4 linked regions of the Elephas maximus indicus genome follow. The protein of the gene in region 2 interacts with the protein of the main gene of each other region in a pairwise test. Links are inferred from orthologs where the notes say so. Each region holds a gene or a part of one and is shown on either strand. Other genes may lie near its edges. The genes, in order: KAT7, CEP70, RBM10 and FAM133A.

Region 1 (7,757 bases), on a different chromosome or scaffold from region 2:
CCACTGTACCACCAAGGCTCCTTAAGACACCCAGAGCTCAAGCATTTTCTAGCTGTTTCAGATGTCCAGGGCATGGCCAATGACACCTTTTAAGAACACTATGCTCCATCTTTTGCATATGACCTGATACTTGTACAGTTATTCTCCTTGTAGTTCACCAGATTCTGTCATCTGCACCAAGCCAAGAGACCAGTTGCCACATTATTAGAAAAATAATGTGCTAACCAGTCAGTCAACTCTGAGGAGTGGTCAGGAAGCATGAAGCCTTTTACCTTGAGAACTCTGGCTCAGCCTGGCTGAGGAGCGGGTGATTCTGGCAGATCGTCGGGAAGTACCATCGCTCTCTGAACTGTCTGTGTGCTCAAGATCTGTAGAAAAATCGGAATCTTCGGTTCCATCTGAACTACTGCCTGCATTCCTCTGTAACACCATAGATCCAGACATTAGTACAGAAGCATTTACTCTGTGGGTCTGTATTAACACTGGAAATAAAATGTACCATGATGCTGAAAACATCAAGTTCAAACCTAAGAAAGGATTCCACAAACAGTTCCCTTCCCAGCCCAGAGCCAATTTCCCTTTATTTAGGACATTTATATGGAACAACCTACAAGTAATGTGCCATTGTTAAGTAAATGAAAACAGACAGGTAACAGTGTAATATCACTAATCCTGAAACAAGTCCCTTTGGAGACCAGTACCACAAACTAGAAATAAAAATACCCAACTGAAAATGGTCTAGCTGACATAACCATGCACCTACAGAAAGCTCAAGGTAGTGAGAAAAATGTTGGTGCTGGGCCCCATTTCAGTTTAGAGTAGCTTTTATTCAAAGTCTCCATTGATAGCTATCACACTTTAAAAAACAATGTAAAACCAAAAAAACAAAATAGCATGGTCCACAGCACTGATCTCAAGAGAACTGAAGCAGAAAGAGAAAAAGATACAAATTCCTTCTATGTCATCTAGCCTTGAAGTTTCTTTGCATGAATATCCAAAGTGCTGAAAAAGGCAGCTGGCAAATGAAGATTAGAAGGTATTCGAACACGGAGGTGATTTATCATCTTTTCAATTAATGATCATTTGTAAATTATTAGCGTCCTCAGGTGTAATTAGCCATAAGGATAACTTTCATCAAATGAGTATTAACACCATACCCTTTATTAAACCAGAAAGAAAAGAATACTTCCTAAAAACAAAAAAAGCTTCAAACTACAAGTCCTGGATCCTTTATTAAAAACTCTGGGGGCCAGCTGTTTCAAATTCATAATTTTATAGATTGTGGGAAAAGAAATACTTTTTTTGCACAGATTTTTGGGAAGGAAAATCTTTTTGCACAGATCCTACAAATACTCTATAAGCAACACATTACTATTTCCACAGCAAACTATACAATCACACTAAATAGATACATAAAAACCATAAATAGCCTCAAGACAGTTTAGGGCAGGCTTTGTCACCAAACAAGTTACTAAAAAACTTGCTCTTTGTATTTGGGAATTGCAAAAAAGGGAACTGTGGACCTATTGCAAGGTACTGATACTATTCCTGCATTTGGTGAGCCTTAACATAAATACCACCTACAGCTCAGATCATTTTAGGAGACATCATAAACTATACACATTTATTTGAAAGCCTCTATAAAAATTCTTGCAAAAACAAGCAAGACTATCACCCAGCTTAAGGGTAATCAGATTGAACTCAGCCCAGAAGTGAACTGAGGCCATGGGAAAGTGTCACAGAGAATCAGTGGGACGAAGGTGGAGTCTTAATCAAGTCCAATTACCCGGATATTTGAGTTCCTGATCATCTCTGACCACTCCTCCCTGGCTTGATCCTGGAACTCTGCCCTTCTCTTTGGCAGCGTACTCCTCCATCTTTCTCCAGAGCAGACTTAACTGCTCCCTCACCTCCTTCCCACGTATTTCTCTAAACAGAGCAAGCACTAGATCCTTTTAGTTATTTATGTCTGTATTCCTTACCAGGGATCATGTCAAATTAATTTTTGAATCTCTAGCAACCAGCATGTAGAAAGCAGTCAATAAACAATTGCTGAATTAGATTTGTCGTGTACTTTTTTTTTCTGGTTCTGCCATTGCGGAGAGCTTTTGCGCACACCACTAGACTTTGTTTACTCAGATGTAAAAAGTGTGTGGGGAGGGGTTTCCTAGACCATCTTTTAAGTCCCTTACACCGAGCAAAGCGAATGATGAAAAATACGTCTTAGACTCAACAAGCTTGAGCGGTATTCCTTGGGAGCACGCCCTGGTTCCCTAAGACCCAGCGCTCAGCTTTGTTGTACCCACCTGGAAAAAAGTCCTCAAAAACCCCGCCTCTACACCAACAGCATCGCCACCCGGAAAGGAGGGGATTCGTGCCACCCAATAGAAATCCTGCTAAACCGCGCCCCCACGGGACAGATTGGCCCGACGCAGCCAATGAAGAGAGGAGGGATCGTTCCCTACAGCCAGTTGCAGCGCGGTAGGGCCGGTCCAGGCACCGCTCCCGCACGCGGGGAGGTGACCGTTGAGCCCTAACAGGCGGTGTCACCAGCCAATCAATATGCTCCCAGACGTTTCAGCGGCCAATTAACGGTAAGAACGCCTCCGATCCAGCCAAGTAGAGGGCGGGAATAGTCACAAGCACAGGCCGAGGCCAGGGTCGGGCCCACATTTTTCTGTCGGGTATGGCCAGAAGAGAGGTCCGCTGAGCTAAGTTCAAGGGAGCAGGAAGCTGGAACCCAACCACTGTGAGGCGTGGCCAACTGCGTCACGTTGCTCAATCAACTGGCCTTAGAAACCCGCCATCCCTCCCCTCCCGTTTCTCTCACCTTCCTTCGTGGCATTGCCGGCGGCTGCGGCCCGATGGTTCCGATTCGGGCAGCGGCGGCGGCAGCAGTAGGAACGGTAGCTCCGGCGGGCTCCGTGGCGGCCTCTGTAGCAGTCCCAATTCTGCGGACGATCCCAAGTGCCTCTTGCCTCACAGCGTCTAGAGTCTTCTGCGCAGGCGCCGCGGGCCGAGGCGCTTTTTCCTTCACTTCCGGCTGGGGTTCGCGTCACCTGACGTTTCGGGCCAAAGAGGGTGCTGGGAGGTGGGCGTGTTGCTCGCCTCTTTTGGTGAGGCTAGTGAGCGCCATTTTGGAGTTGGGCAGAAAGGGGCATAAAAAATAGCTGGTGGAAACTGGGGCCAGCCATTTTTGGTTAGGCTAATGGCGCCGTTTGTAGGCTTGGGTAGCCGTTCTTGTTTGGGCAGAAGCCTAAGAGTAGACGTTAACGGTTTTCATCTTTATCTTGGGCAAAGCTTTCCTTCCCAGTAGTTTTAATTTAATGGCGAAAAGGTAGGAAATCCCCAGAATCCATCAGGTTGTTGAAATTTAACCCCTTCGTTGCCTAATTGGCTAAGGGACGTTTCCGTTTATTATATAAACTCAAAGTTGGGAAGGGATATTTTGATAAAGAACTTTCTGTTTTAAGAGCTGTCCTGTGTGTCAAAGAGGTGGAAATGGGGGATTGTAAAAGGAATGAAAGGGTAGCCTCCATCATCAGGAAGTTTCCTGTCTAGTAAAGGAGACATTGTCCTTCCCCTTGGCGAACTGCAAGTAAGTTTGTCGTTCATGTCGCGGGAGGAGACAAAACCGTTCTCCAGAAGCCGTGGCTCCACAGAATTCCCAATTTAGCTCTGTGGTGAGCGCCCACCTCCTTCCTCCCCTATTTTTGGCTTGGAGAGCGCTGGGTGACCACGAGTGAAAATACGACGTGGATGTGAGGGTGCCGTACAAGAGTCGGAGAAGCATTGAACTGCGACCTCTAGAAATTCAGCTGCCTGAGCCAGGAGTTGGGGTAGGGTGGGAGTGGAAAGAATATTTTGGGGAAGCTGGATCTCAGAACGGCATGAGTATCTTAAATAATAATAATAGGGCCTACTTTGGAGAGGGCTAGGAAGGAGTTAGTCAAGGGTAAAAGGCTAGAGGAAGAGCATATGAAAAGGCTGGAAAGTGGAGAGCAGGCGTTGAAGATTGAATCTCTCTGGAGGAAAACCTTTGAGAGGACCAAGGCTTGGCCAAGAGCGACTGGGTGGAATCTGGGCTAGCTCAGTCATTAAGTTAGAACCCTGGACCCAAGTTTCAACCTGAGGCCGGGAAAGATGGAGATTTCCCCCAGGAGCAGAGCTAAAGAACAAAGCAACGGAAGGTAAACTTCGGATTGATGTGCTAACAGAGGGCTCTAAAGAGTGAGATTTCCAGACACTTAGGCCAGCATTCTCCTTGGGGATGTTGTGGGCTGGTGTTGACACTGGCAGCTTCTAGTATTTAGAATTTTAGTATTTAGCATAAATATTTCTGAATGACCTGCTTAGGTTGAACTGCACATAAGAACTTATTTGAAAGTAGCTCACATTTCTTCTTTGTATCCCCTCAGCACTTAAGCATTCTATTTCACACTACTACTCTGTTATTTTGCACTTAGTGGTGTATTCCTGAGGAGCCCTGGTGGGGCAGTGGTTAAGCGTTCAGCTGCTAACTGAAAAGTGGGCAGTTCAACCCACCCGCCACTCTTCGGGAGAAGAAAGATGTGGCAGTCTGCTTTCATAAAGATTAAAAAAAAAAAAAGCCTTGGAAACCCTATGGGGCAGTTCTTCCCTGTCTTACAGGGTCGCTGTGAGTCAGAATTGACTCGATGGCAATGGTTTTGGTGTGTTCCTGAGGTCACTTTTGGATGTCTGGCTCTCCTACTAGTGGTAAGGACTTCTTGGGTTAAGAACCTATCTCGATTCTAGTACTTAGACCATTCTGTGCCCATAGTAAATGCTTGCTATTCAGAGTATTGTTATAATTTTATAGTCTCTAAGATGTTACACATCTTAACACTCAAAAATGGTGAAGTATTCCCTCCCTGGAAATTTGTATTTTACAATAAGACCTTATCTAACTTAACCATTCATAATACAAATATCAGCATTCCAAATGTTAAACATTAGTTAAGCGCCTGCACTAGATTCTCTTAAAACTGCAGCTGATGCTGAAGAGTTTACAGTTTCATTTAGACATAGTTCTGGTCCGAGAAAACTGTACACTCTGGCAGAAAGATGAAAAAACTAATACCGGTAGGCTAGAAATACATTTCTGAGGGAAAGAATATGTACTTAAGATTTAAGATGAGAGTAGACCAGCTAGGTATGGTAAAAATGGGGGTGGGGAGGATGTTAGAAACTTTTTTCTTTTTCAACCAAATATAACTTTTCCTTCGTGTGTCATTTTTCATCGTGGTGCAGTTAGTGTTCAAAGCAGAAATCGAGGTTGGTTTCAAAGCCTTTGACCAGTTGCCCCCTTGCCCATCCTCATCCACAAGACTTCATGGAGGCACTCTCCACCGTTCTTCCTGCCTTTATAGCTTCACAAAGTCTTTTCTTCCTCCCTGGATGTATCTCCCAACTCTCTTTAAAATTTACTTTCTTCTCAAAGTTTTTCCTGATTTATTCTTCCTAAGGTAGGAGAATATAGTGATATGTGATTTTGTCCTTGCTGCTATTTTTTTAAGGTAGGAGAATATAGTGATATGTGATTTTGTCCTTGCTGCTATAGTTACACTTTTCTTTGTACAATTGGTAGATGTTCTGTTCCTCACTCCCCTTCCTGGCCAGATAATTAGAAACATAACTCCTGTTTATTTTATTTATCAGCCCTTTTACTGTCCAGTTCAGGACTTTGATGTCAGATCTGGATTTGAATCTCATCTCTGCTGCTTTCTATCTGTATTGCTCATGGGTAAGTTTTTTAATTGATCTATGCCTCAGTTTTCTCACCTGGGAAGTGGGGATACTAATGGCCACCCCACAGGGTTGTTGTAAGGAATAGAAGAGATGACTGTTGTAAAGCACTTAGTACATTTCCTAACATAGAATAACTGCTCAACAAATGGCTGTTGTTACTGCTATTTATAATTTCTTTCACCCTAATCATGGTTATACATCTTAATGTTTGTGAATATGTATTTACGTGGTATCTGTTTTATCTGTGTTAGTTATCTAGTGCTGCTATAACAGAAATACCACAAGTGGATGGCTTTAACAAAGAGAAGCATATTCTCTCTCAGTCCAGTAGGCTAGAAGTCTGAATTCAGGGTGTCAGTTCCAGGGGAAGGCTTTCTCTCTCTGTCGGCTCTGGAGGAAGGTCCTTGTCATCAGTCTTCCCTTGGTCTGGGAGCATCTCAGCTCAGGAACCTCAGGTCCAAAGGACTCGCTCTGCTTCTGGCACTGCTTTCTTGGTGGTATGAGGTCCCCATGTCTCTCTGTTTACTTCTCTTTTTTATATCCCAAAAGACATTGGCTTAAGACACTACCTAATCTTGTAGATCTCATCAGTATAATTGCCACTAATCCATCTTATTACACCATGATGATAGGATTTACAACATACAGGAAAATCACATACAATGGTGGACAGTCACACAATACTGAGAATCATGGCCCAGCTAAGTTGACAAATACTTTGGGGGGACACAATTCAATCCAGGACAGTCTCAATGGTTTGTTTTTGTCTGTTCAACCTAAGTTCAGTTCAGCAGACACAGAGTAATTATTCAGGCATTATAAACCAAGCATTGAGTCATAACAAGATGGACAAAACACTGTTTTTCCCCTGAAGGATCTTGGAGTCCAGTAGGGAAGACCTGCCAGTAAGCTCAGAGTTCCAAAACACTGTAGAGTACTACATACGAAAATAGAAGGCTGAGCAAGATTCAGAAGTGGTACAGAGGAGGAAGTGGGCGTTTCATCTGGAAGGCTTAGGAAAGGATTCGTGGAAGTTGTGAAAAGAGTGGAATTTCATAGGACAAATAAGTTTGCCATTGGACATGGAGAATAGGGGCTTTTGAGGTAAAGGGAACAGCATGTGCAAAAGTGCAGACATATGGAGCAGCATGGTATGCAGGGGTGACCAACTCCACATGGTGGAGTTGGGGCAGTTGCCAAAAGAAGAGGTGGGAATGGTTTTGGGAACCAGTTCATGAAGAATCTTGAACGCCTTGCTAAGGAACCTGGACTCTTCTAGAGGTGAGGACCTGTGAAGGATTTTAAACAGAGGAGTCACATGATCAGACTTGCATTTTAGAGATCTCTTCTGGCAGCTGTGAGGGAGACTAATCAGAATGGCAGGAGAGCCATCCTGAGGTGAGTTGGGCTGTCATTTATGTCTGTCCTTGTGTTTTTTCTTACCATATCTATGTCTTTCTCAGTTACATTCGTAAGCTCTCTAAACGCCTCCAGCCACAAAAAAAATAATTGCCACAGAGTTGATTCCAACTTATGGCAACTCCATGTATCAGGGTAGAACTGTAATCCATAGGGTTTTCAATGGCTGAATTTTCCAGGCTTTTCTTTTGAGACGCCTCTGGGTGGACTCGAACTGCCAGCCTTTCAGTTAGCAGCCAAGCACTTAACCACTTGCACCACCCAGGAGCTCTAAATTCCCTTAAAACACTCCCCTTATCGGTAAAAAGACAGGTAAAAACCAGTTGCTGTCACGTTGATTCCAACTCATGGTGACCTCATGTGTTCCAGAGTAGAACTACTCCATAGGGTTTTCATGGCTGTGACTTTTTGGAAGCAGATCTTCCAAGGCACCTCTGGGTAGGTTCGAACCACCAATCTTTCAGTTAGTAGCCCAACACTTAATTGTTTTTGCTACCCAAGGACTCCTAAAAAATGAGGCAACATATTTCAAATACAGAGTATAGTTGATTGTCCCAAAGGCCTAAGAG
Region 2 (7,720 bases):
GTATACATGGGGAGAGATGCAGCAGCAGCCTGGCTAGCAGCAGCAGACTGTGGTCACTGGCAAAGGCTCTGACACACTGCCCTCTGAGGCTGGCCCAGCAGCCAGAATACTTCACCCTGGGCTTGTTTCTAAAGCACTGATGCTGCCTCCTTTAACAATAATCATGTGGGGCTAGTGCTGGAAGGGCACGTGGAAAATTTTAAGTCTGTAGCTATCAGATGTTTGTAACATTTCCCTTTTATTTTGGTCTCCGATCATGCTGTTTAAAAAATGAGTTCAGAAAAATCAATCCATCAACAATTCTCTTTTCAAAAGGAGGTCCTGTGATAACAGACTATCGTGAATAAGAGTGTTTTTGGCTTTTCTCTTAAAATAAGTCTCTAGTGTCTATGGGCAAGTTGGTTGTGGGGCAATGTAGGAGGTTAGAGCAGCATCTATGCACTTCCTGGAAAACTAATATTGGGAAAAGTCAAAAGCAGGATTGGCCTAAATGAGTAAACTTTATACTTGAGTTCAATAATCTCACAATGGCTTTATTGAGACTTTTTTTCTTTCTATAACAGTCCTGTCAAGTAATCAGTGACTACTCCTACCTCAGGTGTCCTGGGCCAAAGGAATAAACCAAAAACCTGTTGCCATCAAGTTGATTCTAACTCATAGCGACCCTATAGGACAGAACAGAACTGCCCCATAGGGTTTCTAAGCCTGTAATTTTTACAGAAGCAGATTGTCACATCTTTCTCCTGCAGAGCTGCTGGTGGATTCACACTGACAACTTTTCAATTAGCAACTGAGTACTTTACCACTGTCCAGGGCTCCTTGCCCAGGGAATAAGATGTAGGTGGAAAATTCAACTCAAACTGGAATATTCCCCCAGTTCCAGGTATCCTAGAAGCTATACCCAAAGAAGAAACAGTGGCACATGACAAGCCAGCTGAGGAATCACAGGTTGCCTTGCCTATTTTGAATGCAGACATCGATGCACCTTGCTGGTGAGCAGAACCTGGCTGTACTCTGGTGTCCCTGGGCAAAGAACTCCTCCAGGCTTCTTGGGCTAGGCCTAGATTTTTCTTCAAGCACAGTACTTTCCTAATAACAGGCCCTGTTAACATGAACCTTTCAAATTCCACAGGCCTGGGCCTACAACTTCTAAAGGGCTTTGGGTCTGCCTACAAAATGGGGGTAAATATAATCTCTGGGCTGTTAGGAGAACTAAAGACAGCGATATCTAAGGCACTTGTCAATAAATTATAACCTATTGGTCTTGTAAGTGATATCCAGATCCTCAGGTTTTCTAAGAAAATGTGATGTTTAATTAAACAGTACCTTTGGGTTTTTCCTTGACCAGGGTTTCCTTGTCCTAGCCCAACAACTCAGGATTGTTTCTCAGAAAAGGAAATTAGGGAGGCATCTTAAACCAGCCTTGTCCCATCTCTTGGAAATTTTCACTCTGGAGCCTTTTACCTTTCTCCCAATCCATTCTTTCAACAGGGAAATACAAATATGAAAAGTCCTTGTTCTCAGGGAACTTTCAATACGGACAGCAAATAAGGAATCGACAGAATAAGCAGAATCCCTGTAACATAATTTGCTTAAGAATTCAGTCATTATTCAGTCATTATTACATTATATACCTGGAATTGGGGGAATATTCCAGTTTGAGTTGAATTTTCCACCTACTTCTTATTCCCTGGGCAAGGAGCCCTGGACAGTGGTAACCTAGACAATAGGTTGATCCCTAATGTCTCTCAACTCTCCGTTCACCCTGCCAACCCCAAAGATGAAACAATCCTCTCCATTAACACCAAGCTGCAAGAAGAAATTACACAATGGGGCCAAGCACAGTATGCTTGTAATCTGCTGGGCTCTCACAACCTTTCCAGAATCCCTTCACATGTCTCTGGTCTATTGCTGGGCCCACTGTCCACAGGGACCACTCACTAATCTCCTCAGATGGCCTGTCAACAACCTTCCTCACTCTCTGCAGGCGACAATGTCTCCTCCTGAAACATTACTCAGGACTGCTTTTCATGCACTTATTCAACAAGTATTTATCAGAGTCTACTTTGAGGTGCTGTGGTGGTGCAGTGGTTAAGAACTTGGCTGCTAACCAAAAGGTTGGCAGTTTGAAACCACCAGCCCCTCTTTGGAAACCCTATGCGGCAGCTGTACTCTGTATTACAGGGTTAAAATCAACTCAAGAGCAACAGGTTTGGTTTTTTTTGGACTGAGTCTGGAGTCCCTGGGTGGGGCAAACCATAAAACTGCTGGGCTACTAACTGAAAGGTTGGAGGTCTGGGTCTACCCATAGATGCCTTGAAAGAAAAACCAGGCAATCTACTTTCAAAAAATCAACCACTGAAAACCCTATGGAGCACAAATCTACCCTGACACACATGGGGTTGCCTGAGTCAGCGTTGACCCCAGGGCACTGGTTTGGTGGGGTTTTTTTCCCCCTATGACTCTGCACTGTGCAGATGTGGGCAGCATAAGAGCGGGAATCAAACAGCCATGGTTCCTAGTGTCCTGGACCTCAGTCTAGGAATAAGTCATACGTTAAGCAAACATTACACAAACCATTACATACCTTGAAAACGACCGAGAAGAATCACAGGTGCTTCAAGTCTTAAAAACTAGAATAGTTTTCTTTAAAAAATGCTATCTGAAGAGTAATCTCAACACAAAATGGAAGTTAACTAAAAGAAGCAGTGTGGAGGAGTATCCCAGGCAGGGGAGGGAGCATTTGCAGAGGCCCTGGGTGAGAAGGAGTTGGAAGCATTTGCCTTTCTAAATGAATCCAAGTAGGCAGGGCCTAGATCATCTATGAGGCCTCCTGCCTACCTTCTGGAGTTTTAGTCTTGAAACTAAAGAAGCAAACCAGAGTCCATAAGGATTTCAAGGAGAGAATGCCAGGATCAGGTCTACCTACCCTAAGACTTCAGAGCAGGCACTGGATCAGATTTTGCCCACCAGATTGTCCCTAGCGTCCAGCCCAGAGCCTGGCACACCGCTGGCTCTCACTAGCATTTGTTGGTTGCATGAGGGGATGCAGTGCAGGACTAGGTAATGTTTCGCGTGCGGATTGAGGACGGTCTGTGCAGAGAACGTGAAATCTCCCGCTGAGGCGGCGGGCGGGGGTTGGATCGGTCGTGCGGTGAGAAGGTGGTGGCCTGCGCCGAGCGCCCCGGGAGACCTGCGCCGAGCACCCCGGGAGACCTGATGCGCGACAAACAGCCGCGCGTTTGGGACTTGCGCCTGCCCAGCTTTCAGTGTCCGCGCCGGCTGCGTCCGGTTCTCGGCGAACGGAGCAAGTTCACGCCGTTCGAGTGGCCGTGTCGGAACCAACCCAGTGCCTAGCGCGGAGCCCCCAAGGGCCTCCGGCATCCACCGCGCACAGGTGAGACCCGCGGCCTGGGCGGGACCGCGGAGGGCCTGGCCCACCCTCCACAGCCCGGGCGCCCCCGCCCGGGACCCTGGAAGCCCCTGTGGGCAGCCCCAGGCGTCCCCGCAACCCGCTGAGCCACGGCAGCGTGGGCGGTGGCAGCCATCTCCTGGCGGCTGAGGCCGCGGGCAATGTCTGTGCGGACCTTGGGACCCTGCGGGGTGAGGCGCGGGCCGCGCGGGGTGTGTTCTGGACGTTTCCCGTCGGCCCGGCGAAGGCCCTGGGCGGCCCTCGGCTTCAGGCTTCCGGCTGGCAGAGGGCGGGTGTGTGGCGTCGGTACCCAGCCAGGCCCGGCGCCTCGGGCTTTTTACTCAGACTGTAGAAATAGTATTTGTTGCCGTCAAAAAAATATAATAGAAAAGCACAAAGAAGAAAGCAAATCAACCGAATCACTGCTCCCCCGAACAACTCCTGTTAACATTTAGGTTTATTTCCTTTCAGTCCATTTTACCCTGTAAGCATGAAAAAAAAAAAAAAAAAAAGGCATGAGCAGGGTTTATTTTGCAGAACCTGGATCTTGTAAGTGCTGTAACTTGGCTTCCTTTGCTTAACGATACATCATGCGTATGTACCCACGGCTATAAATGTTTTTCTACATTCTTTTTATTCGCTGCACAAGGCTATGCGTTCATGTGTGCCAAGTTCACCACCACATCCGTCCCTGGCGCCTGGCATGGGCTGGACTGTAATTTACGTAATAGATTTCCTGATGGTGAACATACAGATGGTTTTCAGTTTTTAGCTATTAGAAAAAGCAGTTCGTTGGGTATCGTTCTGTCTGCATTTTTGAGCATGATTATTTGTGTGGAATGAATCCATGAGTCTTATGGCCATACCTCAAGAAAGTTATTCGTGTATCCATGCCTCTAGTAGCATTTGGGAGTATCTGGTGCAGAGAGCTACTTGACAGACTTTGCTAGAGGACTCAGTGCTTTGCTAAAGGCCAGGCACAGGATGTGAGCAGCACCTGTTTGTTGAATGGGTGACTTGCCTTATGACTGGCCTTAGCTGGAGCTTTTGCTGAAAAGGCAACTCTGAGTTATCTCAGTAATTACTCCTTCTCCTCCTGCTTTAAACAACACTGACTTAGGTTTAGTTTGAACCAATCACTGCAGTCCCCAGTACAATTAACCCCAAGTCAAGGTAGAATTCAGGCTGGGGTAGTTAAATAAACAGTGTTAGGTTGCTAAGGAAGGAATTTTAAAAGATTGTGCTGATGGGTAAATCACTAGATACTAAAAAAAAAAGACTTTCTCTGAAGACATGTAAAAAGTTTCAGGTGATATCTTCCCCATCAGTGAAAATAATGAAATTTGTTTTTTCTCCCTCTTCATTTACATTTTAAAATCTCTGTGCTAAAATAGAGGGATTTTTTTGTATTTATCATTTCCAGTTTTGTCACATAATCCTGAAAATTAAATGTATATATGCCAGTTATATAAGATAGCGACCTTATAGGACAGGGTAGAACTGCCACATAGAGTTTCCAAGGAACGAATGCCTGGCAGGTCCCAGCTGCTGACGGTTTGGTCAGCAGCGGTAGCTTTAAAAAAAAAAAAAAACCGAAAAAAAAAAAAAAACCGAACCCAGTGCCATCGAGTCGATTCCGACTCATAGTGACCCTACAGGACAGAGTAAAGCTGCCCCATAGAGTTTCCAAGGAGCGCCTGGTGGATTTAAACTGCCAACGCTTTGGTTAGCAGCCGTAGCACTTAACCACTATGCCACCAGGGTTTCCAAAGCAGGCATAAGAGAAGAGAGAAGCAGGCATAGCTGCTGAAAATCATACAGAACCATAGAGAATTTTTTAAGCATGTAGTTGGCTTTGGAGTGCTTTCAGGTCATTTAGTAGGCATTTAGTAACTATTTGTGAATAAGTGGATTATGTTTTGCTCAGGATCATATTTTACAGACCATCCAGAGAATCCCTAGTTATGGAGGAAGTAAGCTGTCTTTTTTCTGAGGATACTCTTAAACGAAAAATCAGTAGATGGCCTAAAGTATTTTAAAGCTTGTGTAAGTAAATACCAATTTCTGTGCTTTAGTCTCTGCTGAGATTTTAGAATAATTCTTCATATTCATATTTAATTTTACTTTGTTTCAGACCATTAGCCCAAATCTCAGTGTTTTTTTTTTTTAAGTTCGCTAGAAGATTCACCAGTGGGCATATTTTATGTGTATTGATAAAAGGTCAAAACACAGATGTCAGTCTGTTAATCACTTGCATTTATGGCTATTAAGAGTGTGTTCTGCATGTTCTCCCCTGATTCTGAGCCAGGAGAGCAATTCCAATTAATTTTTAAAAAATTATTTGAAAAATACATGTAACAAAACACTTGTCACTTTAACTAGTTTAAGCATATAATTCGGTGACATTAATTTTGTTCACCATGTTGTACAGTCATCACCACTATCCATTTCTAAATGTTTTTCACCACCCTCCACAGGAACCGAGTACCCCTTAAGCCATAACTCCACACTTACCCTCCTCACAACCCCTCCTTACCAATAATGAACTTTTGTGTTTGTCTACTCTAGATATTTCATACAAGTGGAATCAGACAGATTTGTCCTTTTGTGTCTGACTTATTTCACTCAGCAGAAGTTTTTAAGGTTCATCCATGTTGTATCATCTACTTCATTTCTGTATATATTCCATTGTATGGCTATATCACATTTTGTTTCTTCATCTATTGATGGACACTTCGGTTGTTTCCACCTTTTGGTTATTATGAACACTGGTATACGAGCATCTGTTTCTTTTCCCCCTTACGATTTTTTTGGGTGTATACTTAGGAATGGAGTTGCTGGGTCATATGGTAATTCTGTATTTTACTTTTTTGAGTAACCGCCAAACTTTTCCACAGCAGCTATACCATTTTATATTCCCACTAACGATGAATGAGCGTTCAGTTTCTCCACATCCTCACCAATGCTTGTTATTGTCGTTTTTCTGATAATAGCCATCCTAGTGCCTGTGAAGTGGTATCCCGTTGTGGTTTTGATGAGATTTCCTTAATGACTGATGATGTTGAGCATCTTTTCACATGCTTATTGGCCATTTGAATATATTCTTTGGGGAAATGTCTGTTTAAGTACTTTGCCCATTCTTTAATTGGGTTGTTTGTTCTCTTATTGTTGAGTTGTAGAGTTCTTTATATATTCTGGATATTAAAACCTCATCAGCTACATGGTTACCAAATATTTTCTACCATTCTCTAAGTTGTCTCTACATGTTCTTAATAAAATCCTTTGGTGCCCAAAAGTTTTTAATTTTGATAAAGCTCAATTTATTTTGTCTTTTGTTGCTCATGCTTTCATTGTCATATCTAAGAATTCACAATTAATTTTTCAAGTGCTGAGATTTTTAGAGGGTATAAAAGTAACAGAAATCACAAAACAGTGAAACTTGTGGGATAAGAAAGAAGCCCAAAACAGAAGGCAGAGTTAATTTGGGGCATTTTTTTGCTAAACATTAAACATTATTTGTTATATTTGTTAATGAGAAACACCCTATATGGTGGGATCATGTGAAAAATTTTCTTTACTCCAGATGCATTATTGGAGCCCTCTACAGCCTTGTTAGGGAAGTGGATAGTAAGAGCCTACAGTTGGCTGTCGGGGTGGGAGATTAGCATTTGGAGGTGTGTCTCTTTACTCTTATTTCCCCATAAAGACATAAAGAGGAAGAGAAACTAGACTAGGTGATCTCATAGGGCTCCCCCCGCCATGATGAAAATTGTGCGACTCTTTAATATTTGGTTTGTGGTTGTTATAAGATATTGCTCACTTTGATCCTTACATAAAAAGTGCTTTTATTGGCCAATATCTACCTTTGAAAATTTATAAAATTTGAAAAAAACTTGAAGCATTCCAGCCTTTTATAAGCCAGATATGCCATTAAGTTTTCCAGGAATAATTATTAAATTTTTTTAGTCTTTGACTTAGAGTAATACATAACCTGGACAAGAAAAATTAAAATACTACGAACTTTATATTAAAGCAACTTTTTGTCTTATTTAATTGGGCCTATAGAAAAACAAATAAGCAAAGAGGGTAATATAATTTTTTTTTGTAATTTGCTACATTTGAATTTTATTTTTTCTTTTTTTTATTGTACTTTAGATGAAGATTTACAGAACAAACTAATTTCACATCAAACAGTTAGTACACACATTGTTCTATGACATTGGTTAACAACTTCATAAAATGTCAGCACTCTCCCTTCTCAACCCTGTGTTCCCTATTACCAGTTTTCCTGTTCGCTTCTGCCCTCTA
Region 3 (7,500 bases), on a different chromosome or scaffold from region 2:
GAAATGCCAGAAGCATGAAAGGGAGCCCAGATGTTCAGACTTAGGGAGCTAGGAGAAAGTCCCTGGAAAGAAACAAAGACAGCCAGAGCCAGAGAAAAGTCTCCTACTCCATCTGCCAGGTCCAGAGAGAAAAGAGTCTGAGACAGTAAGCCCCTGATGCAAGGAGACGGCCTATTCCCAGAAAGAAAGTGAAGTGGGAGGAAAGAAAGACTTCCTGTTTGAGAGAGAGACACAGAAAAACAGGGAAGGAGAGAAGGCAGGGTAGAGAAACAGAGTTAGAGACCACTCAGATTTTGGGTAGAACGGAAGAAACAAAAACAAACTAAACTGAGCCAGTTGTCATCAAGTCAATTCCTACTTGTAGTCATCTCAAGTATGTCAGAGTAGAATTGTGCTCCACAGGGTCTTCAACGGCTGGGTTTTTTTTTGTTTTTTTTTTTTTTTTTGGAAGTAGATTGCAAGGCCTTTCTTCTGAGGCACCTCTGGGTGGACATGAACCACCGAACCTTTCAGTTAGCAGCCAAGCAGAAAGGTGCATAAATCATAAATCTAGACTCATCAAAAGAAAGGCTGAAAGAGGGAAGACAGAGAAGGCAGGGAGAAAAACAAATACTCATCCTCAGCAATAAAAAAGCCCTGCTCTGCTCCACCATCCTCAATCCAAGGTCTCCCTGGCCCTTCTTCAAACACAGGCAATCCCAGTGTGGTAGCTTGTGTCTAAAGATGACTGCCATCAATTTCTTCCTAAGTGCTACTTCCCCATTCAGAGGAGCCCTGAGCCACCTTGTAAAAAGCCCAGGCTATTTTCTGCTAGAGAGCGGCCACATGGAAGAAGACTCATGTGCCAGACAGGTGAGTGAAGAAGTCATCTCGGATGCCCAGCGCAGTTGAGCTGTCAGATGACTCCAGGCCCAGCCACCATCTGACTGTAACTACCCAAGGACAGTCTTTGGAGGAACTACCTAACTGAGCCCAGTCAATCCACAGGACCATGACAGATAATAATAAATTGTTGTTTTAAGCCACAAATTTTTAAGGTGGTTTGTTACACACCAAAAGATAACCAAAACACCCAGAAACGGCTGCAGTGGCCTTTTAAGGCTTGTGAAACCCCCACCCCAACCCCCCACACAACAAAAGCAACACTAGCCAGTCCGATTTTCAGTCTCTTTAATTAGGTGCTCTGAGGAGAGGGCAGGAAGGCAGGTGGAGTGGGTGGGAGGGTGGTGCTTCGTAAGCCCCACTTGGCAATCAGTCAGTCCTCTTCCTCTGGCAGCTGGATCTTGCTGGGGTCAAAGCAATTGGATTCCATGATGGGGAGGCCATTGGCCTCTCGGTACTTTACAAGCCTCTCAGCTTCCCTGCGGGCCCACTCGTGCATCCTGGAGGCAGCAGCAGCAGGGGGTAGATGTGAGGGAGCCTCACTGGACACCTATCCCTCATTTTAGCTCCCCATTCCCCAACAGTGCAAGGACGGGATTCCGGGCAGAATCCCCTTCAACCTCCACCCCTGCCTCTGCCCCTCACCCATCCCACTCTCTTGGACACCCCATGCACCTGTAGTCAGGCAGGTAAGCCACAAAGGTGCTGCCAAGGACTAGGACGATGGAGAAGCCAAAGAAGAAGACAACACGCATGTTCCAGAGGTCCACAACAGGATCCTTGTCATAACCATGGGAGTCTGGGTTCTGTGGCAAGGAGAAGGAGGTATCAATGAGGGCTTCCTGCCATTCCACAAAGTCTCATGCTGGCCCTGCATAACCTTGTTTCTGGTCTCACGTCAGATCCATCACTCCTCCCTCACCACATCCCTCTCTTTCTATTCTTAGGACATGGCAAGTTCCTTCCCACCACAGGGCCTTTGCACTTGCTGTTACCTCCCATGGAAACTTTTCCCTGAGATCTGGTCATGGCTGGTTCCTCCTCATTCAAGGTTTCGGCTCAACCATCACGTCCTTTAGGAGGCACTCCCTAGTCATCTTGTCTATTAAGTTAGGAAGCATAGGAAATTGCCATTTTATAGGTCAAAAAACAGTTGAATATTGGCAATTTCCTATGGTTCAACCTAATAAAATAACCTATCTATAAGTCACTCCCCATCCCTTTATCCTGCTTAACTTTCTTTCTAGCATTCATCATTATTTGAAATTATATTCATTGTTTACCAAAGCAGTGTACCCTCAGATCCTCTGTATCATATTATCTTATGTTATTATTACTTTATACTATCATCTTCTGATATTTTACATGTTTATTTTCTGTCTTTCCCACTATCATGTAAGGTCTATGAGAGCAAGGGCTTTGCCTGATTCCCATACTGCTGTATCCCTAGAGCCTTGAACTGTGCCTGACATAAAGCAGGGCTTTGATACATATTTACATAATGAATGAATAAATGAATAAGCATCCTACATATCCACGCCCCTTAACCAGAGGTTAGTATTGATGAGGTACCTATTATGGGCCAGGCCTTTTCACATATATAATCCTCACAATATCTCAGTAAGGTGGAAAGTGATGAAAATAAACCCTGGTGGCGTAGTGGTTAAGTGCTACGGCTGCTAACCAAAGGGCCAGCAGTTCGAATCTGCCAGGCGCTCCTTGGAAAAAAGTTCTACTCCGTCCTATAGGGTCGCTATGAGTTGGAATCAACTCAACGGCACTGGGTTTGGTTTTTTTACCTTGTTTTGGTTAATGCTAACTGAAGGAGCCCTGGTAGCACTGTGGTTAAGAGCTGGACTGCTAACTGAAAGGTCAAAAGGTCAGCGGTTTGAACTTACCAGTCACCTAGCGGTAGAAAGATGTAGCAGTCTGCATCCATAAAGATTACAGCCTTGGAGACCCCATGGGGCAGTTCTACTCTGTCCTATTGGGTTGCTATGTGTGGAATCGACTTCATGGCAGTGTTTTTTTTTTTTAAATGGGTAATGTTATCTGGGTTTTTAATGTTAACTAAGTACTTACTAAGTGCCAGCTGACTCATTTAGTTTCAAGAGGCAGGTGTCCTATTACTTTTTCTATTTTACAGGCAAAGAAACTGAAGCACATGGGGTTAAAGTATTTGCCCAAGGTCACACAGGTGAGTAACCGTCAATGCTTGGATTCTAACACAAGCCACCGGATTTCAGAGTCTCTGCTATTAATACATCACAGTAGACCTGGCAGATCTAAGTTCAAATACCGGTTCCACCACTTACTCAGTTATGTGAGCAGAGGCAAGCTACTTAACATCTCTATGCTTCAGTTTTCACATCTGTAGAATAGGTGTATAATAGTGCCTACCTCAAAACAGGAAACCCTGGTGTCATAGGGGTTAAGTGCTACGGCTGCTAGCCAAAAGGTCGGCAGTTCGAATCCGCCAGGCGCTCCTTGGAAACTCTATGGGGCAGTTCTACTCTGCCGTATAGGGTCTCTATGAGTCGGAATCAACTTGACGGCAGTGGGTTTGGCTTTTTGGGGGGGGGGATTACCTCAAAATAAGGTTGTTTCGAGGATTAAACGAACTAATGTATACAAAGTGTTTAGCGCCACATAGATTCTTAACATTAATGTTGTTAATCCTATATTGCTTATACTGTGTTTTGATCGCTACCCATTTCAGGTTTGATTTTTGTCTGCAAAATAAGGTCAATCTCACCTCTGGGTCTGGACCGAGGATACCGGGGGACAAAGGCAGAAAACAAACTAAGCAAAATTCCCAAATCTTAGACGATTTCGTTGACTGCGCAATATCCAGCCACCTAATAATGTCCTCTAACTGCGCCCCGTCCTTCCGCCCCCGATTGACCCTCCCGATGTCCCGTTCCCCCTCCCTCTCACCTTCTCGTAGAGGTTTTCGTCCTCGAGATCCGGATCCTCCTGCGAGCGTATGGTCGGTTCCCGCGGCCGCTTCCCCGCGATGGCGGGTGGAGCAACCACAGCCCTGGAGGCGCTGGATTCCCAGCGGACACGGACAGTCGGGAGCCCTCGTAGCGCCGTTGCCGCCAAAAGGCGGCGAGCACACAAACCTAACAACCCCACCACCATGATTGTTCTGCAGCGTCTCGGAGGCGGGGACGGAAATGAGAGTTTGCGCAGCTGCAGCTGCCCCTAGCGCGATAATTTTCGCTCCGCCTCCGGCGCACCAAATAGGTCCCAGGTCAAATGAGGCTGGGCACTGAGTAACCCTCTTTCCCTCCCTTTGTCGTGGCTTTACGGGACCACCCAGTCTCTTATCCTCTCGATCAGGCTGAGAAATTTCTTATTGCTAGTTCTTCTCATTTCCTTGATGGAAGAAAGCGGTGACATTTGGGTGGATACAGTTCCCAGCCAATCTCACAGAGATTTCCCTTGCCCTTTGGGGAAGGGGACGGAGCTTCCGTTTGCCTTTCATCTTCAAAGGAAACCAACCTTCTAAAAAGCAGACCTTGCTGGATTGGCCAATAGCTACTCAACTTCTCGACTTGCGGGCGTTCGCATGGAGAGTGGGGAGGTGGCATACACTTGCCAATCAGAGGAGGCCAGGGCTGGCCGACAGCGGGCAGTGGCCAATAGCCGAGACCCGCCAGAGCGCGCTCCCTTAGTAGGTGGATGGTGGTCTAAGGGCCGGCTCCCTTCTCGTCGTCGCCATTTTGTGTTGGTGATTGCGGCTGGCTGGGAGTAGGCGGCGGTGAGTTTCTTTGGGGAGGGTAGCGCGCCTGGCGCTTCTCCCTTCCCCCTTCCTCGTCCCTTCTGCCTCCAGCCTCAGACTTGGTTGTTGCGTGGACCGGCTCAGGCTGAGCTGGGAGAGTTGGAGGAGGTGGCGACGGGCCGAGGTGATGTCTGGGAGCCCTCCCTTGACAGCCCGGACCGAGAAGGTGAGCGTCGACGCTGGTCGTGGGGGCGGAGGTAAGGGGCCGGGGGTGGGGTGGGGGCGTAGGGGTGGTGCTAGGGCGGGCTATGGGCTAGGGGGCCTGGAGTACGCACAGAACCCAGGAATTGCGTGCACTGTCTGAGCCAGGGAGGGGGGTGTTTCTCTTTTTTTTTTTTTTCCTTTTGAGAACAGAGGCGCGTGCGCGATTGGGAGACGGGATGGGTGCACGCGGGTTGGGGGAAGGGAGGGACAAATGGGAGTGGGTTACTGTGTCTGCGACGCTGGACTTAATGGGAGACGGGTGTCTGCGACTTTGGTTTTTATCCATACGGGAAGTGGTGTGCTGTTTGCTCTGTGAATCTGATGCTTCATTTGTCCATGGAGAAGTGTTCTGTGGCTCTGGTCCTTATTCCTTGCCGGGGGCGGGGGGGGGGTAATGTCTGTAGACTCTGGTCCTTATCCTTAGGGTGTGTGTCTGTAACTCTAGTCCTTATCCATGGGGGCTGTCTCTCTGATTGGCTCGAACTCACTTTGTGGGGAGGAGGTGCGGGGAATGTGTGCGTGATTATTGCCCCTTTTGGGAGGTTTGCATCTGTAGCTCTGACGCTCAGTCGTTGAAAGTGGTCGCAGTGTGTGATTATGGCCATATTTATTGCGGCTTCCTATCAGTGATTTTGACCCGTAATTATTTGGGGCCCCTATCTGTAACTTTGGTCTCTATCCGTTGTGGATTCTAGTGTGTGACTCTGGCTTCTTTGCCAGAGTCTTTTGAGATTTTTGTATCTAGCTCTGAGCCAGTGGGGCCCCTGGTTGTAGTTCTAATCCTTATCCATCTAAAAAAACCGGTGTCCTCTAGAGAGAGGTAACTGGTTCCCTGAGGCTTGTGGCGGAAGAGAAAATTTGTGTGTATGTGTACACACATGGGAGAGAGGTGTCGTGGCAACCTAGTGTTGGGCAGGGGCTGTTAACACCCGGCTTAGCTTAATTCCTGTTTAGAGGGTGGGGCCTGAAGAATTTGGGTACGTCCTGACCCCTGGCTGGGTCACATGGCTCTCAGGACTCCCTTAGTCTTCAAGGCAACTGTGAGGGTTGGGTGAAGTGATTTCTCTGTCCTGGCAGAATAGCACAGTGGTTTGGAACAGCCTCTGAAAGGCCCCCTTTTGCCTCTGAGAAAACTTGGGCTTAGAGCCCTTGGGGAGAGAGAGCTGTCTTGGGACCTGGCTGTGTGTAAGGCTCAGGGCTGATCCAGTTGCTGTGTGGGCTGAGCTGGCTGGGAGCCCAGGGAGTCAGCAGCTGTCTTCTTGCCAAGTTAGCACCTTCGCTACCCCCAGCAGCCTTTCATGGGATCTACCACCATGGAGGGGTCTGCCAGCATCTTGTTGGGGGGATGAAATGGTACCTAATGGGAACCTAAGACTCCCATTGCTGTGACTTGAAGTCTTGCCTCAGTGCCTTATGAACCTAATCTCTGGTCATTCAGCATTGATAGCACTCTGAGCTTGTCTACCAGTCTCAGATCGCAAAGCCGTGGTACCACAACCCCTTTACAACCCTTGAATCTACAGCCCCTGGGAATGTTCCAGGTCTCTCTGCAAGATGTCCCCTGTCTGATGAAGGCCTTGCTGTTTCTAGGGCAGTGGGCTCTAGCCTTATGTTTGTGGGGAAAGGAAGGAGCAAGCCAAGAAGGGGCTGTGTTCTCGCTTTGGTCCACAAGAGCAGTAGGAGTTGGGAAACAACTTATCTGGGCTAAGGGACAGCAGAGAGCCTTGAAAACTAGGGTTTCTCAAGGAGGTCCCCTCTGCCTCAACTGCCTTGACCCCTTTCTTCCCTCCGCTCTCCCCAGAGTCCCTGCAGGAGGCAGCATCACCCAGGCTGGCAGATCATGGTGGCAGCAGCGGGGGTGGCTGGGAAGTGAAACGGAGCCAGCGGCTGAGGAGGGGCCCCAGCAGCCCCCGCAGACCCTATCAGGACATGGAGTATGAAAGACGGTGAGTTATCCGCTCCCACCCCTACTAGGCAGCCTAGGCTCGTCCCCAGGTGGGAATTGATCCATGAAGGTGCTAGAAAGGGCCTTCTAGGCAGAGGAAACAGTAATAGATGATTGTTTTTTTGTTTTGTTTTTGGCACCTGTTTTGAGCCAGGAACTGTGCTAGGCTCTGGGAATGCAGTGGTGAATAAGACAGATATGGTTTCAGCCCTCTCTTTATTTGGGGGTCTCACAAGGAAGACTGCTCAGTTTATGGGTGATTACAGAACAGCATGATGGATGTCCTGATTAGATGTGAGGTTGGGAAGGGATCAAGAGAAAGGGAGGACTTGGGGCTGATGCCAGAGTTTCCAGCTTGGGTGACCTGGATTGGTATGTGGTGCCATTCACTACTGTGAGGACAGCCACTGCAGGAGGAGAGGCAGAGATTGGTATCAGATGGCTGTTGGGTTGTAAGTGCCTGTGGATGCACAGGAGAGAGGTCTGGACTGCGACTTGGGGTTTGGGAGGTGGGTGGGAGTGGGGCCTTCAGGGTCAGGAATTTGCCCAGGACAAATGAGGCAGATAGTGGGAGACATCAGGGACAGGTTGGGCTAGGGTTGGTGCTACTTGTCTTGGAACAGACTCACTCAAGGTTGGTGATACTTGTCTTAGAACGAACTCTCTCAAACAGTTATTTTTA
Region 4 (7,525 bases), on a different chromosome or scaffold from region 2:
TTTGTTTTATTTTTTTTTCTTCTTCCTGTCCTATTCCAAACTTTTCTAGTGTGAATGATAAAGTATTGTTCCTTGAAAATCATCCAAAAAAAAAAAAAACTCCAAGTAGATAACTTTAGAATGAAAGCTGTAGTTTAGTCACATTTGTCCAAGATTATCTAGTCAATTGGGATAAATTTTTAAGAAAAAAAAAATTGTCACTGTGACAGAGAGACCATTTTAGGGGGGCTACATTTCCTCAAATGTGTCAAAACAGAGATATTTTCTTGTAGTCATACTTGCCTTAAATCAAGGCCAAAATTATTTTGCTATTAGGATAGGATTTGGCCACCAATTAATTTCTTTTCTAATCCTGTAGAAAAACAAGCAAAGGGCATGGATAGACAATTCTCAAATAGACAATAAACACAGGAAAAGGCTTTTAATCTTACCACTAAGTTTTTGGGTAATGTAAGAATACAAATAAATAATAATGTGAAATTAATTTGGAGATGTTCATAAAAAAATGTGAATAGTAGTGATTACCTCATAGTATATTTTGGGCTACTTTTAATTTCTTCTTTGGATTTCAATGTTGTTGTTGTTGTGTGCTGTTAAGTCGATTCCAACTCATATCGACCTAGAGTTTCCAAGGCAGATTGCCACATCTTTCCCCTTGGGAGCAGCTGGTAGGTCTGAACTGCTGACCTTTTGGTTAACAGCTGAGTACTTTAATCACTGTCCCACCAGGGCTCCCTGGATTTCCATGTACTGCTTGATTTTTTTTTCAATAAGCCCATATCATATTCATAAAATACAAAATTATTTAAAAGCAAAATAAAATGGCTCATTAATTGTTTGCAGAAAAATTCTGGTCAATGGATCAAAATAGAGAATTCAGAAATAGACTCAAGCAATTTAGTTAATATGATAAAGGTGATATTTCAAATAAGGGGGGACAGAAAGATTATCAAATAAATGGTACTAAAAAAACTGGCTAATAAAAATAAATTTAAAAAAATGGATCACTAGCTTATTGCTTACTCCTAAACACTAATTCCTGATGGTACAAAACATTAAAGTACTATAAAAAAATAACAACACCCATTAACAAGATGCCCATTATTGTTAAAAGATGTTGATCATTTGACATGAAACTATATCCATTAATACATCCATAATTGATTAATAATCCATAATTAAATGAGTAGTTACAAAACATAATACATTGTTGTATACATAAACCAGTAAATGTAAATAGGTAGGTGTTTATATGCACAAAGAAATTTCTGGAAGAATATGTATCAAAATGCTAACAGTGCTTATTGTTCATTGGTCGTTAAGATTTATGTTTTTACACAACTTGACCAAGGTAAATGATGACACTAAGAAGTACAGAAGAATAAGGGACAATTTTGGTAAACGCCACGACGTATACAATTTTGCAACAACAGTAAAAATAACCAAAAAATATGTGTGTGGTTACATAGGTAGATACGTATGCTTATATATGTATAGGTAAGCACATATGAATATATCGGTGCGCATGTATAGGTATTTCTGTAGGCAAATGTATATATACGTTTGTGTGTGCTGCATATATATTCACATATAAAACAAAGCACGTTGGGGACACAGTTATGCATGCTTCCTAGACATAACCAAATACCTCGAGGAACTGAGTTACTGGGTTTGGCGAGTAGAGTCTGAGGTCTTAAAAGCTTGGCAGTGGCCATCTAAGATACAATTACAGTATGGTCTCTATGCATCTGGAGCAAAAAACAAAGAAGAAAACCAAAGACTCAAAGAAGAAACTAGTCTACAGGACTAATAGTCTACACGAGCCACAGCCTCACCTACCTTGGGACCAAGAGAACTAGATGGTGCCAGAAGAACTACCACTAACGACCACTCCCAACCAGGGACACAATAGATGGTCCCATATAGAGTATGAGAAAAATGTAGAACAAGACTCAAATTCCTAAAAAAGACCAGACTTACTGGACCAGTAGAGACTAGAGGAACCCCTGAGACTACCACCCTGGGATACCCTTTAAGTTTGGAACTCAAACCACTCCCAGTGGTGGCCTCTCAGCCAAAAGGCAGAGTGGCTCATAAAATAAATATCACCCGTGAGTACTGTGCTCCTCTAAACAATCATCTAAATGAGACCTAAAAGTCAACATTTACCTTAGACCAAAGATGAGAAGGGAGGGGGGACAGAAAAAGCTAATTAATGAAAACAGAACAACCAGAATGGAAATAGTGAGAATACTGACACATCGTGAAAAGTGTAACCAATATCACTGAATAGGAGCCCTGGTGGCACAGTGGTTCTGTTTGGCTGCTAACCACAAAGAACAACAGTTCAAATCTACCAGCCAGTCCTTGGAAACCCTATGGGGTGGATAGCTATGGGCAGGAATTGACTTGACGGCAATGGGTTTTGAAATAATATGTACAAAAACTGTTAAAGGAAAACCTAATTTGCTATGTAAATTTTCTCCAAAAACACAGTAAAATATATTTTTTAAAGGTTTGTGTTTTTACTATCACTGCAATTTTCTATACTGGATTTTTTTCTTTGTAATGGTCATATGCTTTGAAGATCAGAAATAAACAATAAAAGTTAATTCATTCACAAATTAGAAAATAAAAGCGTCCCCATAACTTCTGAATTATAAAGCACAAATCCTATAACAAAAAATACAAAGGTTAGTATAATTTTAATATTTCTCCTCATTCGAAATGAATAGTTTAGTATATTTTGTATTTTTATTTACTTATATTCTATGCCCACGTTTAGATAGTGAATATGGTTAAGGGTAATTTTCTACACTAGTATGCCAAATCACCACTATTTAATTTAGATTTTTCTGTTGCCATAGAAATATCAAGCCATCTTCCAATTCAGTCTTTAAAAGACTATATGCTCTGAATTTTTATTCAAATACAGATGGGTAATTCTTGTCATTCATAAATATGGGCTAAATATGTTCCTTACCTTTCAATGAAAAGTAAACAGTTCTTTTTAGTTGTACCAAGGGAGCTGTTCTGTAGCAGAAAATAATCCTGTAAATAGAAATAAGAGATACCTGTTTTTAAACTTCAGTTTGCAAGTTTATTCACATATTACTGGATATGTAAATTATAATCTGGCATGGCTAGAACTTTACAATGTTAGAAGAAAACTGGTGGTAGATGACACTGTAAAGTATACCCTGATAGAAGATGCACCTTCATTAGCACAAATCCCCTCTTCCATCCTGCTACTCGTGAAACTGAAACCTGCTGCACACAAGCATAAAGTAAACCTTTTGCTTTTTAGTAGTACTACCTGACATTTGAATACCCCTTTGTTTTATCTCCAAGGTTGTTGCAAGCTTTGAGAAGTGCTACCCGTGGCAAGTCAGCAGCAAGGTTGGGATATTATTACATGCCAGCTTTAACAGAAAAAAAAAATACAGTAAAAACGGTGTAACTGACTCACGGCATCATGGGTGCACAAACCTTGTAGCTGGATATAAACCAGGCTTGCCAAACATCACAACAGCACTTATTAAAACTGCTACGTGGAATGCAATATGCCTGCTATCTAGCCCCTCCCCCCTTTGCCAATAAGCGACTCCCCCCCCTTTTTATCAGTATACAAATACATGCTCATAAAACATTTATAATATAGAAAAACGCAAAGTAAAGAGCTGTTTAAAAAATCATCCACAGTCACGCTACCCAATGATGCCATTTGGAGTATTTTCTTCCAGTCAAAAAAAATTTAAACAGATTTTTGTCAGGAGGCCCGTGAAAAACCAAACGTAATTTCAGGTTGGTTGGATGGAGAGAAGGACACGTCTCTCCCCTTGTTAGGAACTATGGCTGATTGATATTTTTACCCCATGTCTAAGCTTTTTTTTCTGAATTATAAAACTATAAAGACAGCGTTTTGAGGAGGGAAAGAAAAGTCTTGCAAATAATATGTGCCTCAACCACCTAGGAGCGTCTGGGAAGGTGGGCGGAGCCGGGTGGGAAAAACGTTGGGTTTGGTCATTCATTGGGTCTAGAATTTGTCAATCAAGGTTTCCCAGCAAATGAAGTGCGAAATAAAGGCACACCGGGAACGAAATTAACGGGAGATCTGGCTGCAAAGGGAGGGGGCTTGAGATCGGAACCGAGAAGAGATCTTGGGGTCTCATTCTGCGCCATTCGGCTGCGGCACCGCCTCCGTCCACCGCAGCTGCAGCCAGGAGAGGCCTTGCCACCGCCGCTGTCGCCCAGGCCTCCTCCCCTGTCGCTGACACCTCATCGGGGGTCACTGCAGCCCCCGCCCCGCCTACCCGAGCGCTCCTGCTGCTGCCATCGCTGCTGCCACTTCCACAGCTCGGGCCTTCGCCGCTACCGCCGCCGCCGCCCAAGCATCCGTGAGTCATTTTCTACCCATCTCTGGGCGCGCGGTCTCTGCAGTAGTCGCCACCTTAAGAGGTTTGCAGCCTTGCAACATGGCGGACACCTGTTTAAAAAAGGTATCGGAACCTGCCGCCCAGGGGGTTGCTGAAGAGGTGATGGCTAGCTCGTCAAGAGATCCTGGGGAAGAATCTGACAGCAGCAGCACTAGTTGCAGCAGCACTAGTTGCAGCAGCAGCAGTAGCCACAGTCGCTCACATAAGAAGAAGAGGGTACCTGGGCCTTCCAGAAGGGTGCGGGGGGCTCGGTCGGGTAACCATTTCGTGGATAGGCTGCCGCAGGCAGTTAGAAATCGCGTGCAGGCACTCAAAAATATTCAGGATGAATGTGACAAGGTAGACGCCCTGTTCTTAAGGGCAATTCATGATCTTGAAAGAAAATATGCTGAACTCAATAAGCCTCTATGTGATAGGCGATTTCAAATCATCAATGCAGAATATGAACCTACAGAAGAAGAATGTGAATGGAATTCAGACGATGAAGTGTTCAGCAGTGATGAGGAGGTGGAGGATGACACCCCTAGTGAAATGCCTGCCCTAGAGGATGAAGAAGAAGATGAAGACCCTAAAGAAAAGCCTGAGGTAAAGGCTGAAGAAAAAGAAGTTCATAAAGAAATTCCTGAGGCAAAGACTGAAGAAAAAGTAGATTCTAAAGATATTCTGGAGGCAGAGCCTGCTGTCAAAGACGATCCTAATGAAGTCCCCCAGGCAAAGGCAGAAGAAAAAGAACAGCCTAAAGCAACAGAGGCAAAGGCAAGGACTGCAGTAAAAGAGGCTCCTAAAAGAGTTCCTGAGACAAGGCCTAAAGAAAGAATTAATCTTAAAAGAGCTCGTAGGGGAAAGCCTAAAAAAGAAGATCCTAAGGGCATTCCTGACTATTGGTTGACTGTTTTAAAGAATGTTGACAAGCTCGGGCCTATGATTCAGAAGTACGATGAGCCCATTCTGAAGTTCTTGTCAGATGTTAGCCTGAAGTTCTCAAAGCCTGGCCAGCCTATAAGTTACACATTTGAATTTCATTTTCTACCCAATCCCTACTTCAGAAATGAGGTGCTGACAAAGACATACATAATAAGGTCAAAACCAGATCACAGTGATCCCTTTTTCTCTTGGGGATGGGAAATTGAAGATTGCAAAGGCTGTAAGATCAATTGGAGAAGAGGAAAGGATGTTACCGTGAGAACTACCCGCAGACGTACAACTGCTACTGGAGAAGTTGAAATCCAGCCAAGACTGGTTCCCAATGCATCATTCTTCAATTTCTTCAGTCCTCCTGAGATTCCCCAAATCGGAAAGCTGGAACCACAAGAAGATGCTATCCTTGATGAGGACTTTGCAATTGGTCAAATTTTACATGATAATGTCATCCTGAAATCAATCTATTACTATACAGGAGAGGCCAGTGGTAGTTTTGAAGATGGTAAAGATTATGGAAACAGGAAATACCAAAAATAAAAATAAGGCTGTCAGATTGTTCAAGAACCACAAAACTTCAAGAAGAAGTGAAGCAGGTTTATATAGCCTTGGGAAAAAAAAAAACCTGCTCTATATCCTGAACATTAGTATTCCTTACAGTTGTGTTTTCGTATTTTCTTGGTAGTCTATTTAAAAATTGTCCAAAAAAGTGTCTAAGTATTTTGCTTATTCTATTTAGCCTGTTGTAGTTTAATATTCTTCAAAATATATAGACTGCTATCAGTTATCTAGAGCATGTTAGTTTGGTGCTACAGAGTATTGATTTTTGTGAAGTCCTTTTGTCATATTTCTGTTAGATTTCAGCTGTGAAAACTCAGAATTGTTAACTGAGAAATATTTGCTTGGAAAAAAAAGTTCCTGAAGCACCAATGCAAGTGTTTTTTTTTTTTTTTTTTTTTCTTCTGCCTGGAAGACTAAGGGTTTAAGTCTGCTTGTACTACTTGTGTCTTCATTACTTTGCGGTAGAAATACAGTGCTTATACTAAATAGAACAGTGCATTGTAAAACCTGACTGTTTGAAAAAAGATTAGCATACATTTAGGAATGCCCATCAATACCATATATAATATGACTGTGAGCTTGTTTATGTGACATAACGGTCTGCGAATAAATTGAATCATAATGAAATCATTGTTTTCCACTGACTGTTAATATAACATGTTTTTAAAAGTTTCCTCATAGTGTGTAATTGTAAAGTTACTGAACACATTTTCTTTGTAATATGTTCTACTTTGCCTTTCACTGAAAATGATCACTTTACATCATTTGATACTTTTTCATGTTCTTTTATTGCAACCTAAAATAAATAAATGTGAAATAAAGTGTTTCATGTTATAAAAATCTAGCATTTTCTCCTAATTATGAAAATGTGCTGGTTAGCATAGAAAAATTTGGAAAATACTGAGGAAAAGAAAAATAAAAAAAAAAGATGATTATTAACATTCTGATGTATTTCCCACATCTTAGATCTTTTATTGGAGGATATATATTCAAGTAATTGGAGAAGTATTGGACAGGATAGGAGGAAGGTGAGAGTGAGGAGGGGAGGGGTGGAAAAAGAAGAGAGGGAGGGAAGAAGAGAGGGAGTGGAGGACAAGGGGAAGAGGGCAATGGGAGAAGGGAGGGGAAGGCAAAGGTAGCAGGGTGGAGGAGAAGGGAGAAGAAGAGATGGAGGGTGGAGAGAGTGGCAGGGAGGGGAGTGAAAGGGGTGGCAGAGGATGGAACTGGGACATTTGTCATTTTCACTTCCACATATATTTTCCTTCAAGACCTTCCAGTGAAGAACTGCGGCCTGAGGAAGACAGGATTTGAGAGTTTCTGGGTCCTAGTATAGGGTTGCAATGAGTCGGAATCGACTCGACAGCAGTGGGTTTAGTGGGTTTTAGTCATAAATTACCTAATATTCTTCCTAAATCCACCGTACATAGTTCAGTAACTCCCTTTTATCCCATATTAACCACGGTTTGCCCTTTTGTGTCTATAAATGTAATAATATTCCAACCTATGAACATACTGTGACATATCCAACCAATCACTTATGGTTGGATATTCAACTTGTTTATGAGTTACACAAAATCAGGAAGACTAGTGTTGCTTTTAGTGCCTTTGTT

The links.
Region 1: the proteins of CEP70 (region 2) and KAT7 interact in a two-hybrid assay, tested with the Homo sapiens proteins (2 studies listed by BioGRID and IntAct). The two-hybrid records come from large-scale screens. The link is inferred for Elephas maximus indicus from reciprocal best matches to the Homo sapiens genes CEP70 and KAT7.
Region 3: the proteins of CEP70 (region 2) and RBM10 interact in binary tests that used the Homo sapiens proteins (3 or more experiments, as listed by UniProt). The two-hybrid records come from large-scale screens. The link is inferred for Elephas maximus indicus from reciprocal best matches to the Homo sapiens genes CEP70 and RBM10.
Region 4: the proteins of CEP70 (region 2) and FAM133A interact in binary tests that used the Homo sapiens proteins (3 or more experiments, as listed by UniProt). The two-hybrid records come from large-scale screens. The link is inferred for Elephas maximus indicus from reciprocal best matches to the Homo sapiens genes CEP70 and FAM133A.

What each region holds. Positions count from the first base shown.
Region 1 is NC_064837.1:43,821,621-43,829,377, forward strand, and holds the start of KAT7 (histone acetyltransferase KAT7), read right to left. Parts: upstream 3,016-7,757; 5' UTR 2,846-3,015; coding exon 2,831-2,845; intron 421-2,830; coding exon 273-420; intron 1-272. UniProt on the Homo sapiens protein: Catalytic subunit of histone acetyltransferase HBO1 complexes, which specifically mediate acetylation of histone H3 at 'Lys-14' (H3K14ac), thereby regulating various processes, such as gene transcription, protein ubiquitination, immune regulation, stem cell pluripotent and self-renewal maintenance and embryonic development.
Region 2 is NC_064844.1:38,735,667-38,743,386, reverse strand, and holds the start of CEP70 (centrosomal protein of 70 kDa), read right to left. Parts: upstream 3,016-7,720; 5' UTR 2,930-3,015; intron 2,829-2,929; exon of another isoform or gene 2,588-2,828; intron 1-2,587.
Region 3 is NC_064846.1:124,663,584-124,671,083, reverse strand, and holds the start of RBM10 (RNA-binding protein 10), read left to right. Parts: upstream 1-4,488; 5' UTR 4,489-4,796; coding exon 4,797-4,866; intron 4,867-6,674; coding exon 6,675-6,819; intron 6,820-7,500. Other genes in the region: NDUFB11 (NADH dehydrogenase [ubiquinone] 1 beta subcomplex subunit 11, mitochondrial), read right to left, coding at 1,256-1,382, 1,558-1,688, 3,820-4,026. UniProt on the Homo sapiens protein: Binds to ssRNA containing the consensus sequence 5'-AGGUAA-3'. May be involved in post-transcriptional processing, most probably in mRNA splicing. Binds to RNA homopolymers, with a preference for poly(G) and poly(U) and little for poly(A).
Region 4 is NC_064846.1:66,543,398-66,550,922, forward strand, and holds the start of FAM133A (protein FAM133A), read right to left. Parts: upstream 3,003-7,525; 5' UTR 2,984-3,002; intron 1-2,983. Other genes in the region: NAP1L3 (nucleosome assembly protein 1-like 3), read left to right, coding at 4,476-5,894.